3 linked regions of the Oryzias latipes genome follow. The main gene of each other region encodes a partner of the protein of the gene in region 2 in a complex. Links are inferred from orthologs where the notes say so. Each region holds a gene or a part of one and is shown on either strand. Other genes may lie near its edges. The genes, in order: ciao1, mms19 and fam96a.

The links.
Region 1: mms19 (region 2) and ciao1 share a complex: the UniProt entries of both Homo sapiens proteins name them as parts of the MMXD complex. The link is inferred for Oryzias latipes from reciprocal best matches to the Homo sapiens genes MMS19 and CIAO1.
Region 3: mms19 (region 2) and fam96a share a complex: the UniProt entries of both Homo sapiens proteins name them as parts of the CIA complex. The link is inferred for Oryzias latipes from reciprocal best matches to the Homo sapiens genes MMS19 and CIAO2A.

What each region holds. Positions count from the first base shown.
Region 1 is NC_019867.2:18,361,200-18,365,581, forward strand, and holds the start of ciao1 (probable cytosolic iron-sulfur protein assembly protein CIAO1), read left to right. Parts: upstream 1-1,533; 5' UTR 1,534-1,809; coding exon 1,810-1,948; intron 1,949-2,058; coding exon 2,059-2,207; intron 2,208-2,276; coding exon 2,277-2,388; intron 2,389-2,479; coding exon 2,480-2,568; intron 2,569-2,737; coding exon 2,738-2,933; intron 2,934-3,024; coding exon 3,025-3,094; intron 3,095-4,096; coding exon 4,097-4,331; 3' UTR 4,332-4,382. Other genes in the region: tmem127 (transmembrane protein 127), read right to left, coding at 1-266, 346-510, 602-839. UniProt on the Homo sapiens protein: Key component of the cytosolic iron-sulfur protein assembly (CIA) complex, a multiprotein complex that mediates the incorporation of iron-sulfur cluster into extramitochondrial Fe/S proteins.
Region 2 is NC_019877.2:1,645,681-1,649,328, reverse strand, and holds part of mms19 (MMS19 nucleotide excision repair protein homolog), read left to right. Parts: intron 1-315; coding exon 316-444; intron 445-523; coding exon 524-585; intron 586-1,418; coding exon 1,419-1,505; intron 1,506-1,588; coding exon 1,589-1,663; intron 1,664-2,177; coding exon 2,178-2,255; intron 2,256-2,365; coding exon 2,366-2,504; intron 2,505-3,569; coding exon 3,570-3,648. UniProt on the Homo sapiens protein: Key component of the cytosolic iron-sulfur protein assembly (CIA) complex, a multiprotein complex that mediates the incorporation of iron-sulfur cluster into apoproteins specifically involved in DNA metabolism and genomic integrity.
Region 3 is NC_019864.2:1,194,609-1,198,256, reverse strand, and holds part of fam96a (MIP18 family protein FAM96A), read right to left. Parts: intron 1,593-3,648; coding exon 1,428-1,592; intron 1-1,427. UniProt on the Homo sapiens protein: Component of the cytosolic iron-sulfur protein assembly (CIA) complex, a multiprotein complex that mediates the incorporation of iron-sulfur cluster into extramitochondrial Fe/S proteins.

The sequences.
Region 1 (4,382 bases), on a different chromosome or scaffold from region 2:
ATAGTCAGCAGGGAAAGTCTCGCTGCTGTCCTCCATTTCTGAGAGCAGCTCCAAGGCCTGCTCTTCCTCCTCGGTGGGATAATGGCGCAGGAGGTTTGCAGCAGTGGCTAGAATGGAGGCTCCACCAGCACCTGCCACCAGGTAGAAGCTGATGGCAAAGGTGACGTAAATGAGAGAGCCATGGTACTTTTTGTGTTGCTGCTGCAGTGACAAGATCAGTTCCGATGCCCAGTAGCAAAAGCCTATGACTGTGGCACACTGCAACACTGGAAAGACAAAGAAACCAGTTACATTGTAGCAATGTGTTTGATCTTTATTAGAAATGAAAACAAGCACTGTAGATACCTGTTAGTATATGTGCAAAAGCATATCTGCGAGTTATCTTTAGGGCAGGGTGTTTGGGTCCAAACACATCCAGGAGGAACGCAGTTAGACTGCACAGGATGCCAAGGAAACAGAAGGCAGCTATTACCCTTAGCAGCAGGATGGTCTGCGGATTCACACAGTAATCTGAAAAGACAGACGTGCCACAAATTCATATAAATTAAGGCACTCCATGATCCTCAGCTTAGAGTGGCAACGACTTTGTGCTGGTTCTTACCACCCAAAAGATTGGGATCAACGTATCCCAAGACATCTGCCACCCCGAGTTCTTGTCTCGGGCAGGTGCCTCCGTGAATCCGGAGCCAAGCAGGTTCAGCCAGAGCCGTGCACAGCGCTGTGATGGACAAAGCTCCGGGCAGGGCCGACACTAGACTCCGCTCCGGCTGTTTGGGAAGTGAGGTACCGGCTCTCCTCCTCCGACCTCCGGAGACAGCGGGACCCGGTGGGGCATACATAGCTGACCGAATGGCGAATTTTCTGTTGAAGTGGTAGGTTCCTCTTAGCACTGTCTTCCTCTTGACAGTAGTACCGGGTTATTGTGGTATTAGAGTAAAACTACGGCAATTGTCTTCCAGGATATGTCAAAGATTTCGGTGGCGATAAAAGTGCTCAACAATATAAAAACAACAATAACCGCTTCCCTAAAGTAGTCAAAAAATATTAAGGAAAAGCCAACACAAAGAACAGATCCTAAGCGGGCCTTTAGCTCTGTTGTTAGCCTCTGAAGCTAACTAAAAAAAATAAACACTTTACGTCACCAGTTCTCGGAGGAAAGACACTTTTTAGCGAACGAATGGGAAAAAATATAACCTGTAAACATCAAATCCCGCTGATAAAACCGTCCGTCTCTATGATACAAAAAGGAACACAAAACAAAACAAAAGATAGCTTACGCTGTTTTCCTCAAAATCCCTAACTTCCTGTATATGCCATTCTTCTTCGTGACGTTTAGAATGTTTGCTGTACACTACCGCCCCCAGCGGAAACTAAAATAGAAATGTACACAATGTTTAGCATGAAATTTTCTTTGCAAACAGTAATGTAAATATAGATTCATATTATAAAAATACATATATAGGTAGATCACTTTCTTTAAAAATATATAAATGAAATATTACCATCAAAACGTTTTATTTTAGATCAACCCATAATGCACCGGGTCCAGATCCCGATAAGCAAACATGGCGGCATTTCCTAATTTGACGCTTCTTTGAACTTATCTGTGTGAACAATTTTCCTTGGTTAATTTCCCCCTCCTTTTGTTTTAATGTTCATAAAGGTGTATTAATTTACTCGCAGTCCTCTTGTCTGTCGTTTTCCTCATTTGTGACTCTTTTTAGCCTAAATCTTTGGTTAACGGAAATCGAGAAAAGTGTCGAGTCGACGCCTGACAGACAGAGGAGTCACGTTTGCTGGAGCTCTGCCATGAAGGAGGCTATTTCTCTGGTGCAGAAACTCAGCGCACACCCAGATTCTCGGTGCTGGTTCGTCAGTTGGAGCCCGAGCGGTGCGCTGCTGGCTTCGTGTGGTGGCGATAAGGCCATCCGGATATGGGGACAGGAAGGTCAGACTCAGACAGACAAAGAGCCTTCTATTCGAATTTTGCTACGCCGATTTAAAATCAGTGGTTGGATGACCTTACCTTTTTTACAGTTCATGTTTTCCCTTTTCAAGGTGACTCTTGGGTTTGTAAAAACGTTCTGCAGGACGGACACCAGCGCACTGTGAGGAAAGTAGCCTGGTCTCCCTGTGGGAACTATCTGGCCTCCGCCAGCTTCGATGCGACGACATGCATCTGGAAAAAGAAGAACGACGACTTTGAGGTAAGGTTCGTTTAACCTCTGATCTAACACGTGTTCTGGCTCCACCTGGACTCTTTTCTTGTCTTCTAGAGCTTAACTGTGTTGGAAGGTCATGAAAACGAGGTCAAATGCGTGGCGTGGGCCCCTTCAGGGACTTTGCTGGCCACTTGTAGCCGAGACAAGAGTGTCTGGGTTTGGGAAGGTTTGTGTCCTCACCAGCTCTTGCAGGACAATCCTTTGTCACAGAAAACATATAGAGCTGGGTTGTAAACCTTTGTTTTCCTTCTTCACAGTGGACGAAGAAGATGAGTACGAGTGTGTTACAGTGGTGAACTCGCACACACAAGATGTAAAGCATGTTGTGTGGCATCCCACGCAAGAGGTAGGTCTGCACTCAGTCCTTCACCATCATGTAGTTGTTTTATTATTGTTGCTATTAATTGTTAAAGTGCATCTTTAGCCATATTTATGATCTACGTGCTGTTTTTAATAGAGCCATGGTAACGACGTTTGTGGGATCAATAAAGTTGTATTTTATTCTATTTCCGCAGCTCTTGGCTTCTGCCAGCTACGACAACAACATCTGTATTTACAAGGAGGAGGATGATGACTGGGAGTGCAGGGCCACTCTGCAGGGACACACGTCCACCGTCTGGAGTTTGTGTTTCGACGTGACGGGACAGAGGCTGGCGTCTTGCAGCGATGACCGCACTGTGAAGATTTGGAAGGAGTATCCAAGTGAGAGTGGTGAGAAGATAGAGGGGTAGTTTATGACATAAATAAAAAAAAATAGGATATTTTTTAATCACAGAATGTTTTGTTTGGTCTGCTTTATTAGGTGATTTGTCATGGAAGTGCGTTTGCACTCTGTCGGGTTATCATGGACGAACAGTGTACGACATTGCCTGGTAAGACTAAATACTTACACTACAGCAGGGGTGTCAAACACACGGCCCGCGGGCCTTATCCGGCCCGCCAGGTGGTTTACTCCGGCCCACACATGAAGAGTAAAAATCAAAAGGATGATTAAAAAAGAAAGCAAGTTTCTAGTCCATTCCTGTGGCGAATTATGATTTTTTAAAGAAATAACAGAAATGTGCAATTCCGCCACTAGGGGGAGTAAAGGAAAAGAAAAACAGTTGAAACAGCAAATATCTGCATGTGCCAAAAGCGAAACATAACAGCTCTGCGTCTGGGTAGGATGCACCTTGGTTCCCTATGAGCCTTACCGCTGTTATCTTGCTATAAGGATGATCATTAGCGACACCCTAATGACCAAAATGCTGTCAAACGTGAAGTGGAGGGAAGAGCCTTCCAGGAAAATTGGACAGAGTTTTTTCTTTTTTTCACGAAGCTGAATGTAAAACCCAAATGCTTTGTATGTCATCAACATCGCAGTGCTCAAAGAATATGACATTCAGCACCACTAAGAGACTTATCATAAAGAAAAGTTTCTGGATTGCTTCAGTGTCAGATGTAAAATATTCAGACTGCATTAATTTGAATAGACCAACTTTTCTTTAATTGAAATTAATTTTATTTGAGCTCCATTGGCCCCAAGTGATTAGGCTACTATGTTGATTGAGACATTTTTTCCAACTGAATAAAAAACTAAAACAAAGCTGTTATTTTGCTTTTATGTTACTGGTCCGGCCCACTTGAGATCAGACGGGTTAAATGTGGCCCCCGAACCAAAATGAGTTGGACACCCCTGCACTACAGTCTGGTGTCTGATTTTTTTTTTTTTACTTTAAAAATAGATTCTATTTACAGAGTTTTTAAAAAGTTGCCAAAACAGATTTTCTTCTTTGCTTTTTTGGCTGTACCACCACTAAAACAGCGCTTGTCATCAGTCGGCTGAATCTTTGTCCCCTTTACTATTATGGCTCAAACAACTGTCTGTTGCGTAGGTGTCGACTGACCGGTGCCCTAGCAACTGCCTGTGGCGACGACGCCATACGAGTGTTTAGGGAGGATCTCGCGGCCCATGCAGATGAGCCGGTGTTCTCGCTGGCTGCTCAGGTGAAGAAGGCTCACTGTCAGGATGTGAACTGCGTCGCCTGGAACCCAAAGGAGGCCGGCCTCCTGGCCTCCTGCAGTGATGATGGAGACATTGCAATTTGGAGGTTTCAAGAAGAAGACTGAACCTGCTGTGGAGACACCAGCAATTGGATGAAACCCTGTGCTGAACTTAAA
Region 2 (3,648 bases):
CTGTGCTGCCCGTCCCAGGAGATGCAGAGCCATCAGAAGCTTTATAAAGAGAGAGGCGCTTCTAGAGTAGAGGATCTAACCTGATCTAGAGGATCTAGCTGACATTTGTGAGACCGTGCTCTAGTGGTCACTTGGTGAACTGCGGGTCGCTCCAAACCAGTTTAGGCTTGTTTGATAAACTGAATTAATGATTTGATTATTTAAATTCTTTCTAATTTCTCCAATTGTCAATAACGTTTGTTTATAGTATCCATACAAATATCTGACACTCTATGCGTTTGGCGGTCTCTCACGTCCTCTCAATCCTCCATTCAGAGCTGAAGAGTTTGGGAGCCGACTTTGTCTTTGGTTTCGTCCAATCAATGGACGGCGAGAGAGACCCTCGCAACTTGCTGCTGGCCTTCAGGATCGCCAGAAACCTCATCGTCCAAGGATACGATCTGGGTGAGAAGACCTTCCTCCCCCCCCGTCTGTTGGTGATGTCACGGTTTCCTTCTCTCAACCTTCCTGTCTGCTGTCTCAGGTAAATTCGCAGAGGAGCTCTTTGAAGTGACTTCCTGCTATTTCCCCATCGACTTCACCCCGGTAAGTTCCTGTTGACGACGTCTGCAGACCGCCAGAGAAAACTGTTGCTCCTCCCCCCAAAAAACAAGTGTGATCTGGGCATTCGTGCTCCTCATTGGGGTCTCCATCCTCTCCTCTCTGGAGAAAAATCAGCTAAAGTAAAATATGTCGCTCTATTATCTTCAGGATCTGCTACATGTCCCTCTCTCTCCCTGTCTGTCCCTGCCACCCGAGAGCTGCACAAATTCATTAAAAAAACACGCTTTTGTCATAACGGTGCCTTTTATGTACGTTTGTCTCCATAGCAACCATTTCAATTTTTGGTCGTTTGAGGCCGACGGACAGATCAATGTCATTTTTAGAGGAATACATTTTTGGATTTCCTTAGCAACTGAGGTTTTTTGTCAACCCCGCCCACATTCCTAATATGTTCATATCTACAATGTCCTGGTAAAAAATGTGCGAGCAAAAGTTTAAGTCGCACTGCCCCCATCTGAAAATCGCCCAATTTTACACTTTGCCACCTTTTGCCATCCCATAATAATTTCAAAACTTACTTTAAATATCCCTGACATGTGTGTTTTGGTTTTGCCGGGTTTTTTTTGAGCCCCCGGAGATTGTGGGAGTGTCAGCAGCAGTGTCTGCAGCAGCGTCTGCAGGAGCGTCTGCAGCTGTGTCGGCAGCATCTGCAGCAGCGTCTGCAGCATCTGCAGCAGCGTCTGTGCAGATCTCTGACATGGTTCTCCAGGGTTCTGACATCTGAACTCTTTAGATCAGGACGCGATTCCAGGATAACTTTTCATCTAACCTGTCCTCCTATTCTTTTTCCAAAACCCCCTCCTGGTCCACTGCAGCCCCCCAACGACCCCCACGGCATCACCAAAGAGGAGCTGGTTCAGGCTCTGAGGGCCGTCCTCACCGGAACGCCAAAGTTTGCCGAGGTAACGACGGCGGGTCTGCTTCTTCTGACTCGATCCCCTGAGCAAACATTCTCCGGCAAACGTTTCTGTTCGGCTTCCCACAGTTTCTGTTCCCCCTCCTCATCGAGAAACTGGACTCAGAGGTTCAGAGCGCCAAGCTGGACGCGCTGCAGACTCTGGTGAGGAGACACGCCGTGACGCTGAAACAAGACACCAGTTTTCCTCCAGTCTCGTAAAGCAGCACAGTGCATAAACCCGTGCTTTTACTCTGAAAGGGTAAAGGGCGGGAAACCTTTTTCTGCAGAAAACGGACGTCTGAAGTGAATTTTTATTTCTTAATTTTATTTCACCTTTATTTACCGAAGAAATGTCCCATTGAGATCAAGAATCTCTTTTTCAAGGGAGTCCTGGCTAGAAGGAAACAATAAATTATATCTACAATAAAATGTAAACAATTAAAACAAAATAAATAAACACAAAAGCTGATTCAGCTCAGACATGCTGATGTTTAGATCTGCTGTCGCTGCAGTCGTTTGTTTTTTAGTTTTGGACAAAAGAGGAGATGGAAGAGTTCTGTGACGAAATAAAACACATTCTATTAGAAATCCTTTTCTAAACTATCTGTTATTTTGGGTCTTGGCTTAAAGAACCTGATCTTCCGGTGAACTCTCAGACGTTGCTTTCTTTCCGCAGAACGCATGTTTGTCGCGCTTCGAGCACAAGGACACGGCTGAGTTCCTTCAGGGCCTGTGGTCGTCGCTGCGTCGAGAGGTCGCCACGCTCACGGATTCAAACGTTTCCTTCCAAATTCAAAGCTTTTCGTGACGTGGCGTTGCTGCGACGCCTCCTGGCTGCCGCTCAGACCTCGCTCTTCTCTGCAGGTCTTTCAGACGTCCAGCGAGAAGATCGAGTCTGCAGCCCTCGCCGCCCTCGCCGCCCTCACTTCCTGCCTGTCTCGCTCGGTGCTCAGCTCCGAGTCGGAGGACGTCCTCGGACGCTTCCTGGAGGTCGTTCTGAGAGGTGAGCGGCGGTGAGATCGGCCCTCTGAGTTCAGGTGGATGCTAAGGGGAGTCGTGGTGGATGCTCCTGGTTTTTTTTAATAAAGCCAGGCAGGAAAAAAACTAAATTAAACAAGATAAACAGTATAGGGATATAAGGATATTTTTAAATGTAATAAGGAGAAAAACATGTCATGTAATTAGCAGGTGTTACAGAAATTCTCTTAAGGCTTTTATCGTAAAGCTAATGGTAAAAAATACATTCAGGTTGAGCAAAAACTACAAACAACTTATTATGTTTTTAAATTAAAACATTAATCGTGTAAAAATACTTCTGCAGACACAAACCTTTGCTCTCAAACACAAAGGCTTCTGTAACCATGGTAACAGTGTGTGTGTGTGTGTGGGGGGGGGGGGGGTGTGAGGGTGTGTGTGCGTGTGTGTGTGTGGGGGGGGGGGGAAACCTGTTTGAACACAGGCTGCTGAGAAACACATGTTGACTTTCAGTATAACAAATCTAAAAGCACAGAGCTGAACCGGTTCTCTAAACAAACCAGAAGGGGTCCAAAAAGACCCGCTCGGTTCTGTTTCCTCCGGATGAAACCGAATGTTGAGCTCAGAGAAACGGCTGAATGTTCAACACAACGGTTTGTCCTTTGGAACGAACCAACAGAATAGATGTGATCTAAAACTGTTTCTACAGCAGAAAAAGGTTTTTCCAAAGTTAATGCAGAAATTGAATTTACCTGAGTTCTTTATTTATAAAAATGACGTCAAACTGTGCTGACGTCTTGTGGCGAGGCCTCATTCCGGCGCCGTGGGCCTCGCCTGCGGAACTTCCTGAACTTTCTAACATTTTTTGTTTTAGCTTTGATTTGAAGTAAATTTGACACTTTCTAAAGTTTCTGTTAACTTTTAGATTTCTGGTTGATTTCATGGACCGTCTCTTTTTTGTTTGTTAGATCTGCGTTTGTGGCGGACTATTTAGTTATTTATTTGAGGTGTTGTCAGACCTTTATAAATAAAGTTTTATTTGAACTTTTTTTGTTCGATTCTTTTATGACTAAAGTTTAATTTCTGCCTCCAGACTGTGAGCATCACCTCCGTGAGCCGGACCTGAAGCTGGTGTGGCCCGCCGCCAAGCTGCTCCAGGCCTGCTGCGGCGC
Region 3 (3,648 bases), on a different chromosome or scaffold from region 2:
AGACAACCGACACTGGAGCTTATTCCAAGAAAGAGGCCCAACTTAGCCGAAGCTGTATAGGCAGAGTTTAAGCTGGAAACATAAGAAAAAAAATTGACCTGTTCTAACTAGGACAAGTCTGAATTTGTCACACAGACACGAGAATGTCATCATCAGGGAAGCTCAGATTTAGGGATTAACCATAACAACAGATCAACAAAAACCCAATATTAAATGTATGTTATAGAAACTAACTGAAGCCTCGAAAGTGTCTTTTCCAACAGAGCTTTCAGCCTCACACGATGATTTGACATGCTAAATAATATCATTTTTATAATGATCTTATAATTAGTTAAGAATATGGTTTTCCTTACAATAAAAATGTGTGACAAACATGTATGTTCAGTATAGCAGCTGGAACTTTTTGAAAGTGTTATTAGTTCAATCCAACAATGTATTTTTGTGCTCATTAGGACCGCTCTGATTATATACAATGATTTCTAATGAATCACCCCTGCTGTGAGTCTGCATTCCTGAGCATAGTCCTTATCTGTTTGTGGTACAGGCTGTTTACAACTGCAGCTGCTTGGCTCCAGTGATCACAATCACTGACCAGAACCAGCCTGTTCACGGCGGCAGACCCAACACCCTGACCCACGTCCATTTAGAAGCAGAATGACTTTGTAGCTACAACGACCAAACCTAATCTAAATGTCTTTTCCGGGATTCAGGGCCTTACACCTATGTATTATATGCTATGTAGTATGTTTAATAGTCAAGAAAAAAAGGTAAATGGTGTATACTTGTATAGCGCTTTAGTACCTTCTTAGAAGGTCCATAGTGATTTACAGTCACAGTCCCATTCATATACTGATGGCACTACCTATAACCACCAGGAGCAATGGGGAGTTCAGTGTTGTGCCAGCAATCCAATCTTCCAATCAGAGGTCGACCGCTCTAACTTTGCACCACGACAGCCACTGAAGAAAGCCTGAATGGATGACTGGACTGAGCAGAGCTTCTTCTGTGTTGCTGTCAGTAGGAATTACCAATAAACCCCTTTACTGAGCCCTCTAGTTGTTCTTAGTGGGAAAATGACAAATATATTAGTTTTTTTTTTAATCAGAAAATAAGTCACTCCACAGTATAAGTCGCACCCCTGGCCAAACTGCAAAAAACATGACTTATTCTCTGAACACACATTAAGTTAAACTTTACTCAGCAATGGAAAGAACACCTGACCAAGAAAAGCAGACCTGTTAAAGTTTTTTGCTATTGCTAAACATTTCAGATGAGTTAGTTTTTTCACAGAACAGGAAATAGGATATTCATTACCAACAGGTCATGTTTTTCTTTCTAAAGATTTAATAACTCCGGTTCAGCTCCTGGTCAGGTCCTCTGTTCTTGTGGCTCTGGGTCCTGTCCTCGTGTCTCCATCAGTTACTCACCAATGAGAGTAGCAAGGGAGCAGTGAGGGACGGTGGGGGAAAACTTGATGATGATCAGGTACTCGTCCTCTCCCAGATCCTGGACCTCCACACATTTCTCCGTCACCACCTCCAGTTCCTCCAGCGTGTTGGGTTTCTCTGGGTCCCGGATCGATCGGATCACATCTGTTGAACGGCAGGAAAAAGCGCCTTTGAGGATCAGATCGGACTGAAGTCGCTTTCAAGGAGAAGGCTGGGGTTGACATAGCTCAGAAATTTGGGCCAGTGGTTTTTGAAATTTACTGGCCCTGCCAGAAAGTTACTGGCCCGACACCGCACACAGCGCGACCCGCCGCCGCAGGCGGCACCCAAAGCGACGGACGCCTTAACTTTAGGGCATTCCCCCCCGGAAAATTTTAATATGGTGCAATTTGATGCATTCTGGTGACATCTATTACTTATTTATACACTTTTCAATTACTGAAAATAGACCATATCATACTTATATCTGCTCTAGTCTGTTTCAGATTTTTTGAAGAGAGCACTTCAGTGTAGTAGGCAACACTAGTTAAGAAGTTTTCATGCTGCTTCTAATCACTGCTATTTCACATTTGTTCGTAATCAATAGTTAAGAAGTTTTATTTAGTTTTTTACTTTTTAGATCCTTAATTACCGTTATGTTGTTCAAATTTGCAGAGTTACTTGTTTAAAGTTGCAAAGTTACAATTACTTTTTAGTTACTTTAGTTACTTAATTAAATTGAATTAAATAATTGAAAAATTAAATTACTGAGATCATTTAGCTTTAGACTAGAAATACTTACTGCTAACAGTGTTGTAAAGAAAAACAAAATTAAGTACTTTGACATTACAGGGCTCGACATAGCCATTTGTCCGCTGGCCCGGTCCTGTTTTTCGAGCAGTGCGGACCACAAGACTTTACTTTTCACTTGTCCGCTCGGGCCACTAAAATATCTAACGGTTTATATATTCTTCACCTTTTTCAATAAAGTAAATTTTGCGAAAAGGTGTAGATTTAACTCGTCTTCATAATTTAGTTTTTCTGCTAGTCCTGTGTTCAGACTTCAAGGGTTTCTATGGGAAACCTTTGATCACTTCTCCTTCTCTCCCGCCTGCGCGCGCGCGGCTTTCACTGCCGAGCACCACGCGGCACGCGCTCACTACTTTTTTTTTTCAAACTTTATTGAATGTAACAATTCAATACAAAACAATGTTAAACAGCAACAACGAAGGAACAAGCCAGTGGGTTATTATTACATTTGATTATAAATCCGACACCGTCACTGAAGAGACACTGAAGCATGTCAGAGATGTGGAAGACATGGCAGGAATAGATAGGAATATGTTGGATGGAGTAGTGGGTATAATTAGTAGTATGGACAGCAAGATATTTAATGAATGCATTGAAGATGAAACTGTATCCACTAAGCTTTAAGCTGAATGTCAAAGAATCAAAGGCAACTCCAAATACCTGAATCTCAGACTCAAATGCAGTAGAATGTTAAACTACTTAATTTTGTTTTTCTTTACAACACTGTAAGCAGTAAGTATTTCTAGTTCGCTGAATGATCTCAGTTAGACCTGCACAATATGAGGAAAACTCGCGATATGCGATATCAGAGATTAAAATTGCGATAACGATATAATTTGCGGTATATAAACAAACAGCAAAATAACCAAATAACCATTCCCAGTTTAAAAATTATACTCCAAATGACCCACGTTGACATAGGTTACAAACATCTAACATAACAGGGCTCCATCTGATTGGTCAACAATGTGAAGGCGTCCATCCGATTGGTCAAATGCATTAAGGGATTTATTTGATTCGTTAAATGGTTCAAGCTGCCATTAGATTGTTTTAACAAATTTAAGGTTTATGATTTATTGCGATATTTGCCGTTAAAAGCACCATGAAAACTTCTGAACTAGTGTTACCTACTACACTGCAGTGCTCTCTTCAAAACATCTGAAACAGACTAGAGCAGATTTAAGTTTGATATGGTCTATTTTCAGTCATTGAAAAGTGTAGAAATAAGTGATGTCACCAGAATGCACCAAATTGCACCATATTAAAAGTTTCCGGGGGGGCATGCCCCCGGACCCCCCTAAAGTTGCAAGCACCTGCGAAGCGGCGGGTCCCGCTATGCGCGGTGTCGGGCCAGTAACTTTCAGGCAGGGCCAGTAACTTTCAGGCAGGGCCAGTAAGTTTCAAAAACTAC